Linked DNA regions of Rhinolophus ferrumequinum. The protein of the gene in region 1 interacts with the protein of each later gene in a pairwise test. Links are inferred from orthologs where the notes say so. Each region holds a gene or a part of one and is shown on either strand. Other genes may lie near its edges.

Region 1 (7,655 bases):
CCAAGAAAACACAATGGAAGAAATGATATACCAAGGAACAAGACTTCTGTTAGAGTTGAGCTTGAAAGAGCCACATGGTAATATATGAGACTTTTTCACCACCTCTACACTCATAAATGTCCTCCCTGACATCCTCTGCAACTGGCAGCCCCTGTCTCTGTCATCTGGCTTCTCTTTTTCCTTTTGCCCATTACCTCAGGGTTCCCTGCTCTGTCAAAGGAAGTTACCAGGGTCATCTTCACTCATATCACCAATATCTTCAGCACCCAGCTGAGCCACCAGCCGAAGGAGCCTACCTGAGCAATTCCTATTACTTTCCACACCAGTAGGTTCTCCTTTGGCAAATACATTCAGTGTTCAAATAAGTTGGAAAATATCAACCTGCAAGATGCTTATCAGGTGTCTTTGTTGCAGCTCTTCTCAAGAGCATTTAACATGCTACCATAGTGACTGTAAACGTAAACCACCCAGCAGATACACACTGCACAGCACCACATAAAAGTACTGACTGGCCCAAGGAACCCTGTTCTTCCCAGCAACACTGAACTGGGAAATGCTAATCTCCCTAAATGCCCTAAAATCATCCTCTTTCCCATAAATCTGCCCCCCCCCCACCCCCCGTTTCCCTGTTTCAGGCTTTGGTGTAGTCAGGTAAATCTGAGCATGCTGGAAAACTACCCTCCCCACATCTGCAACCCAGCCCTTTGATTCTGCCTCTGCATCTTTCCTACACGGAGCCACCTTACCATTCCCACTGCTACTGCCTAGATCAGTCCTCAAGAAACTCTTATCTGGAACATTCCATGGGGCTTCACTGATCCCTCTCCCGCTTCTATCCATCTTGAACACTGATCAGCCAACTCAAAATCCTCAGGAAGACTTCATGCCCTAAAGCAGGCTGGATTCCTGATCTTGTCAGAGTCATCCTCTCTATGCATTTTACTAGGGAAGTTTTTAAGCCACTGTCAGATCCCCAAGTACATGACTGAAAAAGGTTTCCAATTAGTGGCCTAAAGCTACGTTCCCCACAAAAACGCACCAGACAATTCACAGCACATGGGAAGAAAATACTGGAACCTGTTAGTATTTTTCATTTCACTCTTTCAAAGTCCCTAGAGTATATTTTATAACGTATACATTAGGAGAGCCCTGAGTGTATATAGCATGTCAATACACACAGGGCTCATGCTAAGGGCACGCTTGCCTTTTTGTTTTCATGAAGAGGCCACAGAAGGTCCTTCACCTTCTGCTTGGCCCTCCCCCACCCTAAACACAACCCACATTCCCTGCCTCAGCTCTGCAGTTTCACCCACCTGCACTGCCTCCTACCCTAGTCCCCCCAAGCCAACTCCTTCCTATGTAGAAATCTTCTCTTCCTCCCTAGAGGCACTGTCTTTCTTGGGGCACCTAAACCTGCCCATTCTGGTGAAGAGTTCAGTGTTGAAGCCTTATCTCCCCAGCATGGAAGGGAATCACTAGAGAAAGAGCCACCACTGGATTTTTTTCCACATTGCTAGGCCTCAGACACTTCATCTGTGAAATGAGGATGCTTTCTAGAACTTCACGAAACTGTGAAGTCCAAAGGAAAGCATAGTGGGCACAAAAACTGTACTACACCACTTTAAGGTCTTACACCTGGCTATTCATGTTTTCCTCTAGCACCGAGTGTGTGCCCCGTAAATATCTGATGAGTATTTTTAAGTGACGAGACCGAGGAAAATAAAAACCTGGTAAAAAATCTCTGGGAAGGTGCAGTTCTTTCTTTCGTTAACCGGAAGCCCCGTCGGCACATCTGTTGCCTCCACCATGGGGAAGTACGTCTGATTATTTGTGCTACCTCGCTGTCGAAACCCCCGCAGCAATGCAGGGTTCAGATGCCCTGGGAAGAGCTACAACACAGACCCCGGCGCGCTTCCGCTCCCGCCCCTCAGCCTTGGCCCACTGAGTTAAAATCCTGCCCAAGCTAACAGCCGGGGGCAGGGCGCCGCCGCACCCACTCTGAGCGCCTGAATTTGGACTTGGGGTCCCGGGAGCCCCCCGCAGCCCGCCCGCAGGCCCGCGGTTACCGGGAAAGTCACACTTGTAGGGCCGCTCGGGCTCGAAGTGGCTGCGCTGGTGGGAGCTGAGCTTGGCATGCGTGGGGAAGCGCTCGGCGCACACCTCACACTTGAACAGATTCTCCTGCTCGTGTCCCTTCATGTGCGCCTTGAGGTTGTACACGGTGGTGAACTTCTTGCCGCAGCCGCCCACCGGGCAGTCGAAAGGCCGCAGCTTGTCGTGAGACTGCAGGTGCCGCTTAAGCTTGTAGGAGGTGGTGAAGGCCCAGCCGCAGCCGTCCAGGGGACATTTGAAGGGCCGCCGGCCCTGGCTGCTGCCGTGCGTCAGCAGGTGCACTTTGAGCTGGTGCTTCTTGGCGAAGGAGAGCGTACACTGCGGTTCGGGACACCGGTATCCGGGTGCGCTGGGGCCGGGGGCCGGGGGCCCGCGGCGGCCCTCGGCCGGGCTGGCGGCCTCGTCGCCCGGCGGCGCGGGTGGGCCGGGCGGCGGCGGCGCGGCCGCCAGCGTGAAGACGCCGTGGTCGAAGCGAACCAGCAAGTCTTGACTGCTGATGGTGACTGTGCCCGCGAGGGCCGCGCTGGGTCCCGGGGCTGCGGCCGAACCGCTGGGGCCCTGCTGGGGGCCGCCGGCGGGGCTCGTGCCGAAGTCAGACTCAGCTTCCCGCCGCTCGGGGGCCTCGGCAGCGGCGCTGCGCGGTACTTCCAGCAGTACCACGAAGGACTCTCCGCCGTCCTCGAGGGGCGGTGGGCTCGGCCCGGGGCCCGCAGCCGCCGCCCGGGCCTCCCCTCGTCCCGGCCCCGACCCGCCATCTTCGGGACCCCGCAGCAGCAGCAGGCGGCGGCGCGCGGGACTCGGATTGGGCGGCGGCCCCGGGCCTCGGCAGAGTCCGCCGGGGCCGCCGCCGCCGCCATGTTGGGCTCCGCGCGGGCTCCGAGCTGCGAGCAGCGCGGGGAGGTCCATCTTGGGCCCAGCTGGGGCGTCGCAGCCGCCGCTCGGAAGAAGCGCGCTGTGCCCCGCCCAGGCGTGCGCGACGCCGTGCGGCCGCCCCGACGGATCGACGCCAAAGCTCGGCGCGGAGCGCGACCCGGAGCCGCGCGTGCGCGTGATCCGCGGGGCGGGGCGCGGGCCTACTGGGCCGCGTGACGTCAGGGCCGCTCCGTGAGGCCGGGGACCGTGGGCCAATCCCAGTCCTGGGGAGCTGAGGTCTGATTCCCTACCTGGGAAGTAGGCTAGCCTGACTTAGAGCAATCGTGTTTCATCTGGTTTAATGATTGCAGTTGGCACCGTTCACACAAGTGTGAAGAAACTGAGGCACAGAGAGCTCGAGTCCCTTGACCTAGATCGCACAGCCAGGAACTGGGAGAGCCAGGGTTGGAACATTTAGTTCCTGACAACGGGGCTGGACAACTTCCTTAGGGAGCTGACTAAACTGCGAACCATCCCACTGCTGACCTCTGGCCACCGACCTCTCTTGCAGTGACCCCACATCCTTTCCTGGCACACAGGGCCTCCTTGACTGGACTTCTGCGCACACTTCCAACTGCACTTCCCAATAAACTTCACACAATCTCACACCATAGCCCTGTTACTCATTGTTGACTCAATTCAGCTGTTGCCCTGCCTCCCTCCCCTAACCCCATGCCTCCAGATTGAATCTGGAGTCCCTCCAATTTTTCATATCACAGCCACCGAGATCCAAACCCCTATTTCACTCAGAGTTCTTAAGAAAATACTCCATAGGCTGGTCCTCAACCTCCATCCACCACTCCCTCCACCCAATCTACAGGGCAGTCTCTCATAGTCTTCCAAAAATGCAAATCTAGTTATGCTCCTCTACTGTGTGCTCCCCATTTCTCTTATGGCCTTGCTGATCTTCCCTTCCTTTCCCTCTTTGCCCTCATTTCTCACCACTTTAGCCCTCTGCAATCTCAGTGCCCCCATCTTTTTCCCAGTTTTTCCAAAAGGCGAAACTATTTACAGTTTCAGAATCTTTGCACAGCTGGTCTCTAATTCCTCTGGGAAGACTTGGTTGGCCTTAAGATCCAAAGTACACCCTTATTCTCCACCTCCCCCTTTTGTTTCCTCTTATAACTCTCACTTGCAACTGTTTTTATTTGTCCCTTTCTCTGTTAATCCATTGTCTGTGCCCTCCTCCAGAATGCAGACTCTGTGAGGACAGGCACTGTGTCAGTACCACTCACATCTGTATGCCCAGATGCTAGCAGCAAAGACTCTCAGTAAATATTTATTGAATAGATGAATGTTTTATTATTAAATAAACTTTAAAAATAAGTACATCAATAATATTGAAAAGAATAGAAAATATCTGTATATGTATGTATTTATGCCAAAAATATATTGTTTTAAAGACCATTCAATGGAGAAAAGAATAATCTTTTCAACAGATGGTAATGTGACAACTGTATATCCACATATTAAAAATTTAGACCCCCCCACCTCAAACCATATACAAAAAGTAATTAAAATAGATCAGAGATGTAAATGTAAAAGCTAAAATTCTAAAACTATTAAAAGAGAACATAAGTGTAAATCTGTGTGATTTTGGATTAGGGAATGGTTTCTTAAATATGAAACCAAACTACAAGCAATGAAAGAAACAAATTGGGCTTCATCAAACTTAAAAACTCTTGGGTCAAAGAACACCAACAAGAAGGTGAAAAGACAATCCACAGAATGGGAGAGAAGTTTGCAAATCATATATCTGCTAAGGATCTACTATCCAGAATATATTTTAAAAATCATAGGATCTATCCTACAATTCTACAACAAAAATGTTAAACTAGATAAAGGATTTAAATAGACATTTCTCCAAATAAAAAAATACAAATGGTCAAGAAGCTCATGAAAACATCCTCAACATCATTAACAATTAGGGAAACACAAATCAAAACCACAAGGAGATTCCACTTCACACCCACTAAGATACCTATAATTTTTTTAAATTTTTAAAAAGTTTTTTATTAAAAAATATAGCTAACATACAACATTATATCTGTTTCAGGTTACATGATAATTATTCAACATCTAGATACCTAAAGAAGTGATCACCATAATAAGTCCAGAAACCATCTGACTGTACCACACTATCACAATATTATTGACTACATTTCCCATGCTGTTCATTACATTCCCATGACTTACTTGTTTTATATGTGGAAATTTGAACCTTTTATTCCCCTTCACCATTTCCCTAATTTTTTAAATTTTTCAATTAGAGTTAACGTTCAATATTATTTTATATTAATTTCAGGTGTACAGCATAGTGGTTAGACATTTGTATAAGTTAAGAAGTGATCCCCTAACTAGTACTCATCTGGCACTATACATAGCTATTATCATATTATTGACTAGATTGCATATGCTTTACATCTCCATGACTTTTGTAACTATCAATTCGTACCTAATCCCTTCACTTTTTCACCCTGCCCCCAAACCCCCTACTATCTATCACCTATAATTTTTTTTATAAAGAACAAGTGTTGGTGAGGATGTGGGTAAATTGGAACCCTCATACATTTCAGGTGGGAAAGCAAAATGGTGATGCCACTGTGGGAAAAAGCTTGGCAGTTCCTAAAAAAGTTAAGTATAGAATTTCCATATGACCCAGGGTGGGGACAGAGTCCCAGAGAGCAGTTTCCAGGCTCTCGGCCTCACATGGAAAGGTGCTGGTTCAGGTAGTAGATGGCCGTCAGCTGTGGTTAGTTGGCCATCAGCTGTAACCAGTTAGCCAATTAGCCACTGATATAACTGCCGTGGCTGCGTTGGTTGGAAGAGTCAGTCGGTTGGCAGACAGAGAAGTGGACAGCAGGTTGCAGGGCGTGTGATTCCAGCCTCCAGTGAGACTACAGTGCCGCCAGTGAGACTATAGTGGTATGACTCCCCTACCTATGGCTCTGTGGGTGTTCCTTTATGGCCTCACCATGTCTTGCGTTCTTATGTGAAGAGCGGGACTAGAGGCCCCGCAGGCCGCCTCGCACGACAAATGGCCTTGCGAGCAGGGTGTGGTGCCAGCCAAAACTTACCGAAGGATGGTGGAACAGTTTGTGCGTGTGAAAACTGAGTCTCAGGAGGCCCGTGAGGAGCAACACCGGGAACGGGAGGCACGGTCTGCCTGGGAGACTCAAACCTCGGGATGGCACGCTGCTGTGTTGGCCAGAGCAAGTGTCATCTTACTTTTGGTAGTCTGCTGCTGCCCTGGGCTCCTAGAGTTGTGGACATCTTACACAGAGGCCTCCACCCACCCAGACACCTGGCACAGCAAGTAGGATTCCGACCAGGTAGGAATGGAGTCTGACTCTGGGCAGGAGGACGTGTGGCCCCCACATAGTGTGTGGTGCCCGGTGGCCACTGTTCTCAGGAGTTGTACCCCCAAGGAGGGGGGGGGAGGACATGGACGGCTCTCTGGCCAGCGTGGAGAGGGCCCTGCAGGTTCTAGCTGAGCAGTTGTCGGAGGAGGCAAATGCTACAGCCGGCCACATGGGCTGGATGTTCCTTACAGCCTTGAGTCTCAACACGGAAAATACGCATAATGAAATGGCCCAGGTGCCCGACCAGGTATCCCGGTTGGAGGCACTGGAAGCCAAGGTCCGCCTGTTAGAAGAGGGGCCCCAAGGTGGAGACTCTGAGGCAGAGGCGGAGGAAGCCAGTGGAGACAATGTAGCTCCCAACCCCCAAGCCCAGCCAATCTTGAAGCAAAGGGTAAAACGTGAGCAACCTTTGCTCCCCGGGGGCGTTGCTACAGGCAACCCAGCTGCCATGAGTTCACAACCTACACCCCTTACACTCCCACTGAGTTGCAGGAGCTGGGGAGGCAGTACAGACAGCACCCTGGAGAGCCAGTCTCGGCTTGGCTATTACGTTTATGGGATGAGGGAGCAGACAATATTCTCTGCTCCCCAGGTGAGATGGAAAAGCTAGCCTTTGTGACAGTGCATCCGTCCCTGCGACAAAGGTTACAGAACTGCCATAGGTTGGCCCAAGACCAGGGCAACCACACTCTAATGGAGTGGCTCACTGCTGCGGTACGCACAGTATGGGGACAGGCTGGCGAGCTGCCTGACACTGTGAGTAAATGGCAGTCATATACAGAACTTACTCAAATCATCCAAGAAATGGGTATGAGACATGCTATTTTCAACCCTAATATGCGGTGGCTAGATGATGAGCTTTTTACAGCCAGCATGAGAGATCTGATTTTGGATACTGCACCTGCGAGTGCTTTTGGATCCTTGGTTGCCATTCTTACACTTTATGTGGGGCGACGGATCCATGAAGTTACAACTGCCATGGCCACCCTAAGGGATGTTGAAAGCCGGAGGCGAAGGAGGTTAAGACAGGAGGTCCGCGCAGTTGAGACCTGGAAGCCCAAATCAAAAGTAAAGCGGCGAGGTTGCGGGCCTCAGAGAGTAACATGCGCACAGATGTGGCATGATCTCGTGGCAGCAGGGGTCCATCGGGAAAAAATAGACTGACAACCCAATGCACTCTTGTTGGAACTTTGGAAACAGTCGCGTCCGGAACAGCAATTCCGGAGAAGCCTAAAGGAGAAGTCTGGTAAAGCGCGACCCGTGTCCCTC
Region 2 (8,050 bases), on another chromosome or scaffold:
GTACTTTGCTATATTAAAATCCATTGGTGTATCCTGCATTTTCAAAGGATTTTTTACCCATGGTGATTCTGAAACATCATGCACAGGTCATTTGGAAAATACATATTTACTGAGCTATGCCCATCTTCCAAATGTTGACATGCATCATTATACAATAATTAAAAAAAACAGTCATTCACGTTGCTGTTATAAGAAAAGTTTTAAATACTGGGAAACTGTCAAACTTGAGATGTCAACTTTTAAAGAATTCTAATTTTCACCCTCAAATTTTTATCATTGGTAACAAATACTGTCAACTGTTTTCCTGGAAGTAACAAGCTCACTTCATTAATTTTTCAAGAAAACATCCGTCACGCACTCAAGTGTAAAAAACTAGCTTGTCAATCGTTCTTTCAAGTAAAAATGCTGTTCCATGAAACATTCAGCTCACAAGTCAACGATCATACCCTGGAAGGCAGTATAAGTGCTTTTTGTGTAAAATTCATAATGAATGATCCTTCTGATATCAAAAAAAGGTTAGCCACCTTGTTGCAACAAGTTCGCAAACTTAATTTTCCAACCCCGCACTTCCCAATTTATCATAGATTCTTAAAAAATTAAAAAGATGTACTCGAGTGCTGAGATTTAATAAAATTAATCATTTTTACTGCTTCATCAAGGACATTCTCAAGTAAGTACAAGTTTCACACCACTTCTTTGCTTTATGCTAAGGCACCGCCAGTTGCTTTTGGACCACGAGTGCAAACGTCAGCGAAGAAAATAGTGTCTTAGTGTCATTCTAAAAATTGTTATGTCCTCACAGCTCCCCTGAAAGGGTATGAGGGGGTCCCCAGGTGTCAGTGGACACTTTGAGAACCGCTTTCCTAAATTATACCACTGGTTCAAGGTGGTATAAGAATCATCCTTGTTAGTTCCTTTAGTTTGAGAATGGAAACACTACCAAAATCCTGTTCAAGAGTCTTCATTCCTTAGTTTATTTAGTTTTGAGACACACCCCCAACATAGCTGGTATGTTATAACCATAATATAGGAAAGGGGCAGGAAATCAAGGGCACAGATTGCAATTTAATTCTGTTTAAAGATTCTATTTTGAGTACCTTTATGCTACACCAATAGTTCTCTATGTGGTAGTTACGTTAATCAGTCTCAGCTGAAGGAGGGCCGATTAAAAATGTAGAGGTGACACCTCCCTCCCCATCACACCCAAACAGACTTGGGGATGCGGTCCCCAAAATTGCACTTTTTGGCAATCTCTAAGGTACTTTTTATGCACCCCGAAATTAACTTTTGTGCTAAGTGGTTCGAATTCAAAGTCCAACCTCCAGACCGAAGAGCAGTATGTCTTGAAATTCAACGTCCTTCACCAAGAAACAGCCCTCTGTAGCCCCTCCTTTCCCCTGCATCTAGGTGTGAAAATTCCTGAGAGTAAAACTCCATTCTGTTCATGCTAAGAATCATCCTTGTTAGCTCCTTTAGTTTGAGATACACCTTCAACATAGCTGGTATGTTACGTGGGGTTTTGAGCTCCGGGGGGAGGTGTCTACATAGGGTAGAAGGCTATTCTGAGATTGTACCACCTCAATTTGGTACCTCCATTTCCACCTCAAAAATGAGACTGGGCTCAATGATTTACAAGGCTCTTCAGCTCTACCTTTTTCTGAGCAAAGAATGTCCACGACTAGTGAGCAGAGAAACGTGTCATCAACAGTTGGAGGGAATCCCGCGTCTAACGGGAGAAGACACCAGGACAACTCGCAGAAAGGAGGGAAAGCAGGTGGATCAACATCACTCCTTTTCAATAGGTGCTAAGAATCCAGAGAAAATAGTCCCTAGAATAAACATGGCGCCCACCGCGGCAGGATATAATAATCGGAAAATAGATTTTTTTTCCGCCTCATCCCATTTTATAAATCACGGCGCCATCCCAAAGAAATTTGGGGGCCGGGGGAGGAGACTGGGGAAAGTAACTGCAGTGAACTAAGACTTGGGATGTACTATCGGACCGAGTGGAGATTACATAACACAGGGGAGCAGCTAAGCCATCACTCCTTTTCCTCCTCGCGCTCAAAAAGAGCGCCCCACTCCTTCCCCGGGGTGCGGGGGGCGCGGGGGGCCGAGCACTCCCCCACCCCGGGGACGTCACCCCGCCGCCCCTCCCGCCCGCCTCCCCGGCGCGGCCTCGCCCCCTGGCCCGGCCCTCCCGCCGCGCCCCGCCGTCTCGCCGCCGCCAGCGCCCCCGCCCCTTCCCCAGCGGGTAGCCGCCCGCGCCCGCGCCCGCCCACTCCTCCGAGACGCCTCGCGCCGGGCGTGCGTGTGGACGTCGGGTGTGTGCGGGGCCGTGGGGCGCGAGTGCGCGCGCGCGCGCCGCGGCGGGCGCCGGGGGGCGGGGGCGCCGGCAGGCAGGCAGGCAGGGGCCTCCGCGGCCCGGTCCGCCGCGCGGCTCTCGCGGCTCGCGGGGCACACGCACTCACACACGCGCTCGCGCGCCGCACCCCACGCCCGCCGCCGCGGGCCGCGCCGCCACTCACAGGGGGGCGGGGGCGCGCGCTACCGGCCCCCGCCCCCACCCCTCGCGTAGCCGCCCCATCCCCCTCTCATTGTCTCGCCTCGGAACGCCTCGCCGAGCGAAAAGATAACGGAACCCCCGGGAGAAGGGGGTGGGGAGAGAGAAGGCGCTCTCGCTCACTCACCTCCCGTGGTCGTCGCCGCCGGTAGTCTGACCCGAGGAAGGCGCCGTCGCCTTAAAGGGACCTACACCCGGCGCCGGGAGAAGGGGGTGGGAGCAGGGGAGGGAACGGGGGTTTGGGGGGAAGAAGGGAAAGAGGGGACCGTTCAAAGCTCGTCTCCCTGAGGGTGCAAGGAAACCTCCCTCGGGTTCGAGTGATTTGAGGTGGTTTTTTTTTCCCGAGGGGGGCGGGGGGCCCCGAGGGAGGGGGGTGGGGGGGCCAAGGAATGCGGCTCCGTGTACGGGAGCTGGCGCGGGGGAGAGAGACGCCGACTCCCCCCACCGACCCTCTCGCCCCGCGGAGGGATACGGCTCGTCACTTCCGCCCTCCCCTTTTCGTGGCCTTTCAATTGGTTGGGGCGCCGGGGACGTCATGGGCTCATCCTAACCCCTGCCCGGGCTTCTTTTCTAGTCAAGTTTGCCTGGGCCTGCAAATAAATAAATAAATAAAAACAGTTTGTTTTTTTTTTAAATGAAATAATAATTAGCTTCAGAAGCCATATCTAAATTTTGGTTAGAATAATGGGATTTCCAAAGAAAATATTCCCCAATTCACTTGCCTGGACTTTCCAGGGAAATTTTGGGCATCTCCCCACTTTCTACCCAAGGCTTGTACCTAATCAAGAAGGGAACCTCATGCCACAGGCCAGATGGTGAGGCCCAATGGCACCAACAACTGTCATTTGAACAAAGGCAGCAAAATGGCACACTTCCTCAAGAGATTCAATCAATTAGCCTTATGGTAGTAGCCAGAAGTGAAGAACTTTTAAAAGCCATTTTACCCTGAACCCTTCTGGATTCTGAAAAGAAGCCACACATGATTGCTTATCAGGGTGATTCTTGTGTGAAAACTGCTTTGAAACCATTGTGAATAGACTCAGCTAAGACCCTCCATTCTAAGAAACCATAGACTCCACATTTGTGCTTTTTGCTTCAATCAAGGCTGAGGTAGGTTGGCCCAAAGAAATTGCTTAGTCCATTCAAGACCATCCACCTGTTATTTTCCCCCAGACAAAAACTAACCTCTTTTCCAGGAAACTAAGAAAATGTGTCCTTTCTTACCTTCCGAGATGATAAAACGCTAATATTTTCCTTGGCTATTTGAGGAGGATGTTGCTCTCTAAGCAATACACAAACATTTGCTCCAATCCAAATGCTAAATCCAGTACTTGGTGCGAGGTTGGGGAGATCCAGAACCATATTTCTTCCTTCTGTTAACACACACACTGCACTCAAACCACCAGACTAGGAAAATAAGCAGTGTAAGGGGGCCTTCCACATTGCACACCCATGTACATGAGTTCCCATACCACCATCCGTTCTTATTCCACTTCATCCCATTTCATACCAAAAACGTGAGTGATTTTCCGTGGTCATTCTCAGAAGAACTTCATTATCTGAAGGGAAAGAAGCACTAATCCTTTTGAAAATACTTCTGAAGCCTTTCCAGACCTGATCTGGAGAAGCCTAGGGTAAGATTATGGAATCAATCAGCAGAAGACAAATTCTACATGAAGCTCTAATCCCATTCTATGCTTTCCTGCAATAATTATTGTAACTTATTATAATGTAATTTGCCTCTGAAGTAGTCTTGTTGGAACATATATTTTGCCACGCTGTAAGTGCCAACTTACGCTCTCTGCCAATGAGGCCTAGCCCAACAGACTGGACCACACACTGTTGACCAATAACCTTTCACATACCATACTGAAAATGCATCCTGCATCCATTCACTCAACAATTATTTATTGAGTACTTGCTATATACCGGGTATGGTTCTATGTTCTGGGAATACAGCAATAAAGAAAACAAACAAAATCCCTAAACTCATGAAACATCCTCTAGTGAGGAGAGGCATACAATATACTAGGCGGGTGCAAAAGTAATTGCGGTTTACAAGGTTAAAAATAATTGCAAAAACCGCAATTACCTTTGCACCAACACAGAAACAAAGTGTTCCGATATCTATTGTTAGATAATAAATGGCTCCAAAACTTACTGGCTTAGAACTAAAACAATTTTATTATTATTTCTCATGGCTCTGGGAGATGATTAGGCTAAGCTAAGCAGTTCTCACTTGGAGTCTCAGGCAGTAGCTGGGGCTGAAGTCATCTCAAAAGCTTCCTCAAAAGTCTAGAAGTTGATGACTGTTGGCTTGGATTGCAGCTAGAGCTGTTGGCCAGAACAGCTGGCTGTTGGTATCTCATTGTGGCCGGGGCTTCCTCATGTCATAGTGGCTGAGTTCCTAGATTGTGTGGTCCGAGAGGACCCAGCAGAGATTGCATGGTTTTTTTGTGACCTAACCTCAGAGGTCACATAACATCATTTCCACCACAGTTACAGGCTCACCCCAATTCAAGGCAGGTGGGGAACATCTCTCAAAGGGAGTGGTAGAAACATCACATGGTCAGAAAAGTGTGTGGAATGGGAAATCTTGTTGTGGCCATCTTGGAAAAAGTGATCTGCCACACATTCTGTAAATAAATATGTAAATGTGATGTGATGATAGATGCTGTAGATGGGGAACAGGGCAGGATAGGGGGAATTGGGATTTTGAAGAAGGGGATGGGGAAATTGTTATTTTTATGTGGGGTGGTTGGAGGAGGCTTCGTCATTAAGGTGACATTTGAGCACAGATCTAAAGAAAGTGAAACCAAGTTCAGGTTTTACTCTTAGTGAAGTGAAGCCATTGGAAGATTTTGAGCGGAGAACTGACATGACCTGGCTAACACTTTTAAAGGATCATTCTCGCTGCTTCTAGAGAAAAACTGGTAGGGGCAAGGATAGCCACAGAGAGCCAGGTTGGGAGGCAAGTACAATAATGCAGGTGAGACACGTTGGTGGCCTGGACCAGGGTGGGAGCTGGGGACTTACTACTCTGTGACCCGTTTTTCTATGATGTAGTTTGTGCCCTGAGAGACAGTTTTGACATGTAATGGCTAACAAAGTGTGTGTGAGTGATGGTGCTATGCCTGCCACAAAGAAATAAAGAAAGAATATTGTGCTGAATGTTAACATGGGAGTTTTGCAGGGACTGGAGATACCTTTGAGGAACAAGTTTGGGGAAACAGGGTAAAGGTGAACAATCAGGGAATGGAGTAAACTCTTTGACATTATAAAACGTCCCCCAACTGTGCTCCAGTCTGGGAGGACTTATCAATCGTCGAATGGCTGGGGCAGAGTCATGTATAACTTCAGAGGATGTGAAGAAAACTCTATCACCTTGCACACTGGAGCACCATCTCTAAGCGTTCCCATTTCCAGAAACGTATTCCCCATGCTAAGGAGGGAATGCCCATATTAATTTGGACAGAGCTGGGACATGTTCCTGTCTTCAGCTAACACACAAGTTTCTAGAGTGAAGTAACAGAACTGATAGCTGTGATCGCTCTTATGTTTGAACCATCTTGGTACTCATGGGAAACCAAAGCAGCAGAACCAACGACCTGGATGGAATCCTTAGAAATCCATTCGCGTGCGCCTCTATAACATAATGGGGAGGACTCTGAAAGCCAATCCAGACTGGCCTATTGAAGAAATGGAACCCCATACTGCTGCTGAAAAGCTACCCCAGTCTTCAGTAGCCAACTTAGAAAAATTGAATCCTCTCCTTATGAGTTTCTTAGAAAGAAGGTCAAAAGTTAATGGAAGTACCAAGTTGGGCATCTCACAGGTAGGTAGCAGGAGAGTATTTCTTTTCTACCGTTTATGGAAACACTTATTTGCTTCCTTGGCTTATGGTTTCTGCCACGAGTTGAAAATTGGAACCACCTGTAGCTTGGAGAGTGTCAAGGCAGAAAGACAAATTATTTCAGCATGTCTTCAAAAGCAGTGAACCATGGGGGCCCTCTGCTGTCATTTTGCTAATATACAGACCCAACCACTGATTGCTCAGATTCAGTGTCAAGTTGACAGGTAGGTGTCAGGGTGGTCACCTGATTGTGAGGATTGTGAGGTCAGTCCAGGCAGAAAACAGCTCCATGGGAGAGAATGCCAAGTTTCCTTTACAAACCAGCATCCTGTTCCCTACAACACACACTCAGGGTCGTCGAAACCAGGCGCTCAAAGGGAGCTACTCATTTGGGAAGACCTCAGAGCTAGAAAAACAGTGGCGAAATCTTCACTATCTGAGCATCTCCCAGCTCAAAAAGGTTGACAGCAGATTGCACTGAGCCTGGGAGTCAAGAGAAATCAACACATAGGGGTGGAAAGGAGGACTCCGAAATGCCTTGCTTAGCAGGGAAACTGTCATGAAATAAAGGGCAGGTGAAGATCTGTGTTTGACCAGGTGTCAAATAAACAACGGGGAATTCGGGGACTACTGCTGGATTTTATTTAAGTAAATCATTTGCTGCCTCCTTATGTTTAGAGGAGTTGAGGACTTTTCTAGGGGCTCAGAAAATTCTCAGGAGGTGAGAAATAGCCAGAGGAACTTTCAGACTGGGTATTTAAAAGAAGAGTTCCCCATGAGACTTCAGTAAGAAGCAATTGAAGGTCTCCGTCTTCAAAATATATTTTGCAAGAAACACAGGAGCAGCAACTGCATCAGTCATCAAGATTTCTCTGTAAGTTTTGGTATGATTTCATGGGAGATAATGATTTAGTTAAACTTTGAATTAAATTAATATTATCAAAGAGACACCCATTAGCAAAGCTATATATCTAGGTTGTTGCTGTGGAGTTGAGCAGGTATGATTATAAAGTAATTGAATTGATTCCATACAGCTTCATGGAAAAAGGAATTGGCTTCCTTTACAGACACACTTGTTATGTGGCTTGTTCATTATAATAGATTGCAAAGTAAAATTTAATTAAAATTCTTTTTTTTCTCTAGGATACATGCTTTTCTAATTTAGCAGTGTTTGTATTTTATTATAGTCCTGGATAATTTCCAGACCACAACTGTGGATATTAAATAACTTCCCGGTTCATTCTTTTGAAGGACATAAGGATTAATATTATTTTACAGGTAAGAAGACGGAAGTATCCTCCAGAATAAGTTTTAAAGGTTTCTGGTGTAGAGCAGTGGTCAGATCCTTTTGGGTCTCTTATTGTTGAGCACGTACAGTAGGATTGAGAAGTAGCAAGGAGCCCATCTCCTAAAACACTCAAGGATTCATTTTTAATGTCTTTACTATTGCCTGAAACATATGGGTAATAAAATCTGAAAATGTGAAAGAGCCAAAACTCACCGATTTAAAATCATTTAACCTTCATTCATCCGGGAAATAATTCTCACTTCTAGGTTTGTGTTGAAATGCATTGGTGTGTAAGCACTGTGAGTCAGGTGTGAATGTGAGTTTCCTCTTTCCTAGGGACCCTGCT
Region 3 (7,046 bases), on another chromosome or scaffold:
GGGCTGCTTCCAGGACCAGGACGCCAACAGCTCGAAAGGCTCTCTGTCCTGGTGAGGCAACCACGAGACTCGGCCGGACAGCCCAAACCAGAGCCAGGCCTGCCTGCTGAGGCCTGAACTATGCACAGATCCTGTGCAAGCAAGACGCTGCAGAGGAGGGGAAAGACTGCAGCTCAATTAGGGTTCACCACTGACAGCGGCAAGTACCCAAAAGCTGTGCGTAAGCGACTGTTTCCTCTCACAGGAACAGGTTCCATTCCGTAGACATACCGCACAGCACACTAGGTAACTCTGCAAGTAGGGGAAGCGTTATTTAAAAGGAGAGCCACCAAGACGTTCTTGCAACTATCACTGGCCGTCCGGCTCCTGGAGCTGGCACCATCTTTAATAAGTTTATACACTGGGAATTTTCACTTGGAGCTTCAAACTGAAAGCTTGCACAAACCCCGCCTCACACCAAGGTGAAATGGAAGCCACACACAAAAAAGAGCACGCCTAACGTCTTCATCCAAGAGGGGAGGGAGACAAATAACAACGTAGCACAGCTGTGCAGGGCCCACGGGCAAACATGGCTGTTTACCTGGAGCAAGACGGATCCCACTGCGCCCAAAGCCCCGGTACTTGAGTGGAGAGAGAAGGGGCAGGTTGGGTAAACATGCCAGGGGCCAACGTGCTGGCACACAGCTGATGCTCAGTAAATGCCAGCTGCACGGTGCTTATCCTTAGCCCCAGTGCCGCCTTCCTAAGTGAGCTGGCCAAGGGCAGCGAAGGGAAGGGCTAGGGAAGAGAGCTGGAAGTCTGCTTCACAGAACCCGGCATTGAGGGAGCCAGACCAGGCAAGGGCTGAGACAGGTGGCCCGTGGGGTGCCCGGAGGAGCACCAGTGGGAACAGAAGAGGCTTCGTTTAGGGTGCACGGGCAGTTCAGGAGGCACAGAGCAGCTTCCTTTTAAAACTTGAGACCCACCAGGAGGCAGGGCAAAACCGGCTGTCCTCGGGTGAGGACCAGGGAATACAAATCGGTGGTCTTAACAGGTGCCCAACCCCTCCCCGCTCCAGCCCAACCCACCCACCGCTTGCGCTAGCAAAACATTAACAGGCAAAAATCAGCTGGACTCCTAAAACTAGATTTCTGGTCTCAATGCCCCAAGATTCTACCTAAGGGGGAAGGGGAAGCGTGACCTTTTTCATGAACATTCAGGTGAGTCTGCAACAGTTGTTTTGAGGCAACTGGGAGGCTGGTTAGGGACTGGCTCCGTAGGAAGGAGGGTCTGCGGTGAGCGGGAACAATTTGGAGTCCCCCTCCAGGGCACACGCTACCTGCCCCCTTAGGACGCACAGGTGTGCACCCAGGTGACCCTAACCACCCAGGGCCCGGCCGCCCACTCCTTGGAGTGCTCTCCTGACGCCTTGTAAAAAGCAGATTCCTGGGCTCCACTCCCGAGACTGGGCCCTCAGATGTGGGAAAACAAGAGGTAACTTGGGGACAAGAAGGTGGCCAGCCCCACCTGGGTCCTGGGACACACGCTTCCATTCTAGCTCACCTATCGTTCTATGGAGCCGGGCCAACCTGGGAGGCAGCGTCGGGCGCGACACCTGCCACACGGTTGGTAAATGGACATGAGGAGGAAGAAACAGCACGGCCAGGCGCATCTTTTCACATCACCCAAGATGGCTCTAGCGGACCGGACTGAAACCTCAGCGAGGCCGGAGTCGTCTCTCCCTTCCTGACAGCGGGCCCGCACCCGAGGGACCCCATCCTGGGACCCCGGGCTCTCGGGAGAGCGAAGGCCTGGCTGCCTCGACGGAGCGTGAGCAGCGGGTCGGGGCAGGGGCGTTTCTGCAGGAGGCAGACGAGTCTGCGCGCCCCGTCCAGGCGCCGTTGGCCCGGGTGGGTCTGGGCTCTTCCTTGGGAGAAGCCGCGGAGACAAGGGGCGATGCGGGCTGGCTGCAGGGAGACGTCGCAGCCCCCTGGCTGATGGCTTGTCATTAGACCATTGAGGACCGGCCGCATGGATGAGCGCCGGGAGTCCCGGGAACCGTTGGGGATCCGTCTGGAGAAGCAGAACGGGACCTCCGCGGGCGGGGCTCCGGTAAGCGGAGGGGGCCGTGCCGGCGGGGCTCAGGGCAGATACCCGGAAAGCGAGGCGGCGTGGGCCCGTGGGGCGTCTGCACCGAGTGGCCCCGGCAGGCCGGGACCCCGGGCCGAGGCCGAGCCCGCCGGAACACGTGCGGAGGCGGCGGTTTGGGGTGCAGCGGCGTCGGCCCCCCACCCTATGCGCGTGTCCGCAGGACGGGCGGCCCCCGCTTACCTGACGGGCCGCAGCGGGCGGGAGCGGGCGCTCCGGGAGTCGCATCAGCCGCCGCCTGGGCGGGAGCCAGGCCGAGCTCGACGAGGCGGCACTGGGCCGGCAGTGCGCGTGCGCGTGCGCGTGCGCGAGGGACCGGAGCGGCATTGGGGCGGGGCAAGAGCACAAAGCCGGCCTTTCGGAGGGGCGCTACGGGGAGCGGCGAGGGGCAGAATGCTTCGGGCACGTCCAACGCCTTAAAGGGACAGCGTGATGCGCGCGCTTCCTGCTTAAAAGCGTTAACCCCAAAGGTGGCCGGTGCAGGCCGTTCTTCGCCTGCACTTTCTACACACTGAAGTATAAAGACACTACAGAAAAGTGCTAGTGTGTCCCTCGAATGCTCACATCCTGAGCTCGCCCTGTAGCGACGCTCCCAAGGAGGAGCAGATCTCCCCTCCGGGAACCTAGGGCCAGCGAGGGCCCCAATGTTTCTTCTGGGATCGCGTCCGTCCTGTTGATGGGAGCCGCAGCGTTCAGAGCCCGGCCCTGCCCTGGCCTTCCTCTCCGCGGAGTGTCTCCATTAATGGTCTGGACACCTCAGTAGACGGGGACCCTTACCTTCCCACTTTGCTGGGAGGACCCAGAGCTCCAAAAGGTCCCGAATGCCGGCACTCCGCCCACCCGCTCTCCCGCAGGGCGGGCTGCCTGCTTGGTGGTCTTCCTGCCTCTTCAGCGGAGAGCCCGCCCGGCGCACCTGCTTCTCTCCTGAGGCCCCCTACAAGGAGAGCCAATACGAACAGTCACTGCATGCAGACTGCGCTGCTGTCTGCAAGGTGATGTCACACACAGGTATCATCACCTCCAGTTACGAATGTGGAAGGGGCGGCCCAGACAGGAAGGCTCGAGGGCGTAAGGAGAACCTGGAGCCGCTGTTCTGGCCTTAAGTCCTGTGCATTCTCACCGCCCCGCCCCACTTCTGCTACCATATCGGTCTTAGAGTCTTGGGGGTGGTCAGGGTCTGACCTCCACGCCTCAACCCAAGCCCTGGGTACAATAACATGCAGTCTCTTATTTCCCAATGAAAAATGGGAACACCGATTATGACACAGGAAAGTGTGCAGACAAAAGGACAGAGCATTGAAAATGGAAATGTCCAGGGAAGTGAGGTGTGTGGTTGTTATAGACAAGGGCACCAAGACTGGTAGCTAGTCTGAAAGCCCCCACTTTAAGGAGGACGCAGGGGCAGCAAAGTCCCTGTCTGGCCCCAGCACAGCTCCGTGGATCTCTGTGCCCAGGAGGCCTATTCACCTGTGCCAGTACCCTGGAGCGTGAGACAGGTAACCAAATCTCCATAGTCATAAAGAGGGGGCACTTCCATCCACCTGCCTGCCTTGGTTCCGCCTCCCAACTGGCCTTTTTCAAACCTCTCTGAAGCAGTCAGAACTTCTAAAACGCCACCTCTGATCTGTCACCTGCTGGTTTAAGACTCAGAGCTGGCTTCCCATTGCCTTCGGGTCCAAATCCAAACTCTGCCATGGAATTTACCAGACGGGCCTCCCCGCCTAGCCTGATACCACCCCCAAACTGTGCACCCCAGGCTTCAGCCCCAGATCCAAAGTATAATATATTTCCCAGTCCTCCAACCCTGCAGGGGGAGCAAGACATGGGTCCTGACCACAGAACTCAAACCAGATTCCCAGGTAAATTGGTCTCACCTCCAGCAAAAATGAGAAAATCCTCTAACTTTGTGGAGTGTTTTTTCAATCCATTCCTGCAGTCATAAGGAAAATCCTGACAACAATACAGCAGGTAAAGCAATTCAACAAAAACTTTAAAAACTTGTCTAAGTTTTAAACCCTTTTCTATCCCTCCTAAGATGTTATCAGACTCAGAAAAATCATGAATGGAAGTTGAACAAAGCATAACAACTACAGAGAAGGGGAAAGCATTTTGGAGATTTGTTTTTTCAGAACGTTAACTGTGCTTTGGCCAATGGGAGCGAATTGGAAAATGAATGTGTTTTCATGAACAATTTTTATAGATACGACATTTCTCAAGGCTGCGCCATCAACCAGACAATATGAACCTCTCTGGGCACCCTCTCCCCTCAACCAGGTCCTTCCTCCAGGCTCTCTTTCTGAGAGCCTTCCTCCCGCCCCAGCCAATGTCCGCTTGGGCTTCTTTCTCTGATCCCCAAAACTAGTGAGTCTTCCTGGCTACATTCCCCCCGCCTCCATATCCTCCCAGTGGAAACGCTCATCTTTCTTTGTGATTGCTGGTTCAGTGTCTCCTGGTTGAGCTGGGTTGGAGTCTTCCTCACAGCACTCTTGGCAGGTGTCACAGGACGACAGAAGGAAAAGGAGGAGGAGGAGGACCTGTATGCTCAGTTCTCCAGTAAGTTTGTCACATGTCATCTCCTTGCACCTTCACAACAAGCCTATAAAAGGGGTGCCTTTATTCCTTTTGATAATGAAGAAATGGAGGCTCCGAGAGGTTAAGAAGCTTCCCAAGGACCCCCATGCAGCAGGCACAACCCTGGACATCAAGGCAGAGCCTGCACGCCCAACCACCCGACTACACAATATACAGTGATGCTTATCAATGGATGGATGGATGGGTGATGGATGCATAGATGTATAGTGGATGGATGGATGATGGATGAGTTAATAAGTGAAAAGCAAGTGATGACGGTTGAAAGAAGAGAGCAACCTGTGTCAACAGGAATAGTCAGGGAGGCTCTATGGCGGTGGCAGAGCTTAAATTAAGTACATTACCTTCTCATGGGACTTGAAGCTTTTGAAAAGCCATCTTTAGTTATCCAGTGATAAATATTTCATCAGGGACATTGGACTGCTAAACTCAAGAGCACTGGCCAGGAGGTGGCAGAAGAACAGACCACATGTCACAAATGCTGTGGTGTCCCCACAGCAGGCAGCAAGCTGGGTGGGGAGCACTGGCCCTTTAATTGCCAAGCCCACAGCTTTGGATTCCGATGGCAGTTGATGAGGGAGGGTCTTGGAAGACGAGGGACACAGGATGCCCAGCACTCAGAGCTTCCAGGAGTTGTTCACCAGATTTCTACACTGGACAGTCCGCCTACGCTGGGCCATCATTCCAGGTTGCTGCTGACGCTGCCTGGAGACCCAGAGGCTCCCGCCGGCCCAGGTCAGTGGGGCTTTGTGTTAAGTTCCTTTTCCCGTGGTAACTACGCCAGGGCAGCTGGTTGGGAGATATGCGTCCCCAGGTCCCCTCCTCAGGCTCTGCTTTCCCTTCCTCCACACCCCTTCAGGGTCCATGAGGACAGGTGTTTTGCTCACCATCCCTCTGTCCCAGTGGGCCTTCAGGGAGCTGAGTCAGCTGGCCACTCCCTACTCTGGTATCCAGAAAGCCATTTCTAGTTCTAACTTTGCCACCATCCTTCTCTGTCTTCCCTGGCCTCAGTTGCCCAGGTACAGAAAGAGCAGGTTAGACAGGAAGAATGCATCAACTCTTGCCATCGACTCTGGGGTTTCTCCTAATTCGAATTCTCTCCTCCCACGGCCTTCACCCAGTGTGTACCCCTCCACCGTGGACCCGTCCCTTTGCTCCCTTCTCCCTCCCACCCACTAGTAAGCACCCCCAGCCTCATTTCCCCTGCATCAGCTCCCCTCCTGATACCCCCCTCTCTAAGGTGACCCCTCTAGATTGCCCTAGACCAGGGTGACCAGCGGCCCCGTGTGCCTGGCACAGTCCATCTTAGAACTGAAAACCCCCACCTCAGGCAGTCCCTCAGCTGCAGGGAAGCCCGGACCTGCCCTGTCCCTTCCTCAAGGTCCCCAGGCTCAGCCCTAGGCCACCTCCCATGCTGCTTCTGTCCCTTCCCTTCCTGGCCCTGCCTGTGCCCTGGCCGTCATCAGGGTCCCTTCACTTGTCCACCCCCCTCACTATTGCTGACTCGTGGGAGCAGGGTCAGCTTGTCCAGGCCACATTGACTGCTCGGAGAGGCACACAGTAGGTGCTTAATAAAGACCTTCCCAATGAATGAATCCTGGAATGTTCGCTCTCACTTCCTGTTGGATTTAAACGTATCCTAACTTGCCTCAAAGTCCCCACAACGAAATCTGTTTGCCCTCAGCTTCCACCAGACTCCAGGTCTGGAAGCCCTGGACGGCCCTTCCAGGCAGTGCTGGGTGTTCCGGTCACCAGTCAAGCCCGGTGTCCTGGAGCAGGAATCCCTGGAATGCAGCTCCCACCTCCCAAGTCAGGCCCCACCTGTTCCGATCTGGTCTGTAAATCCCTTCCCCAGCCGGCCTGGGCTTTTATCCCCCTGGTTAGAGAGGGGTCCTGACAAGTGCAAAAGAAACAGCTCCTATGTCTGGCAGGTGGAAATCAGAGGCCCCCCAAAGCCAAGGGGTTTTATTCAAAGGCTTCAGATTTTTTGGGGGTAGTGAGGATAGGGGGGGTTGAGCAACAGTGGTTGGGAGGGGCATTTTTAAGGAATATAAATTTGGCTGCTAGTATGCCACCTGTGTTCCCCTGTCACATCAAACTATTTCCATTTGTCCTTGTTATTAAAAACCACTGCAGCTGTTCTTCCTGAGCACCTACTGTGTGCCTTTCACTTGCCAAGGGCTTTAAATACAGTCCCCTTAAATCCCCAACAGGGATTTAGTTGAAAGCTATTCTGATTTTACAGATGAGGAGAATGGAGGCTCAGACAGCCTCAGTGACTTGCCCAGGGCCACGTGGCAAGTAAGAGCTGGGACTTGACCTTGTTCTTT

What was found.
Region 2: the proteins of ZXDC (region 1) and POGZ interact in binary tests that used the Homo sapiens proteins (3 or more experiments, as listed by UniProt). The link is inferred for Rhinolophus ferrumequinum from reciprocal best matches to the Homo sapiens genes ZXDC and POGZ.
Region 3: the proteins of ZXDC (region 1) and WDR5 interact in binary tests that used the Homo sapiens proteins (3 or more experiments, as listed by UniProt). The link is inferred for Rhinolophus ferrumequinum from reciprocal best matches to the Homo sapiens genes ZXDC and WDR5.

Annotation. Positions count from the first base shown.
Region 1 is NC_046302.1:3,198,009-3,205,663, reverse strand, and holds the start of ZXDC (zinc finger protein ZXDC), read right to left. Parts: upstream 3,097-7,655; 5' UTR 3,019-3,096; coding exon 2,067-3,018; intron 1-2,066. UniProt on the Homo sapiens protein: Cooperates with CIITA to promote transcription of MHC class I and MHC class II genes.
Region 2 is NC_046305.1:51,432,384-51,440,433, forward strand, and holds the start of POGZ (pogo transposable element with ZNF domain), read right to left. Parts: upstream 3,030-8,050; 5' UTR 2,691-3,029; intron 1,793-2,690; exon of another isoform or gene 1,652-1,792; intron 1-1,651. UniProt on the Homo sapiens protein: Plays a role in mitotic cell cycle progression and is involved in kinetochore assembly and mitotic sister chromatid cohesion.
Region 3 is NC_046295.1:81,292,546-81,299,591, reverse strand, and holds the start of WDR5 (WD repeat-containing protein 5), read right to left. Parts: upstream 3,061-7,046; 5' UTR 2,905-3,060; intron 2,466-2,904; exon of another isoform or gene 2,311-2,465; intron 1-2,310.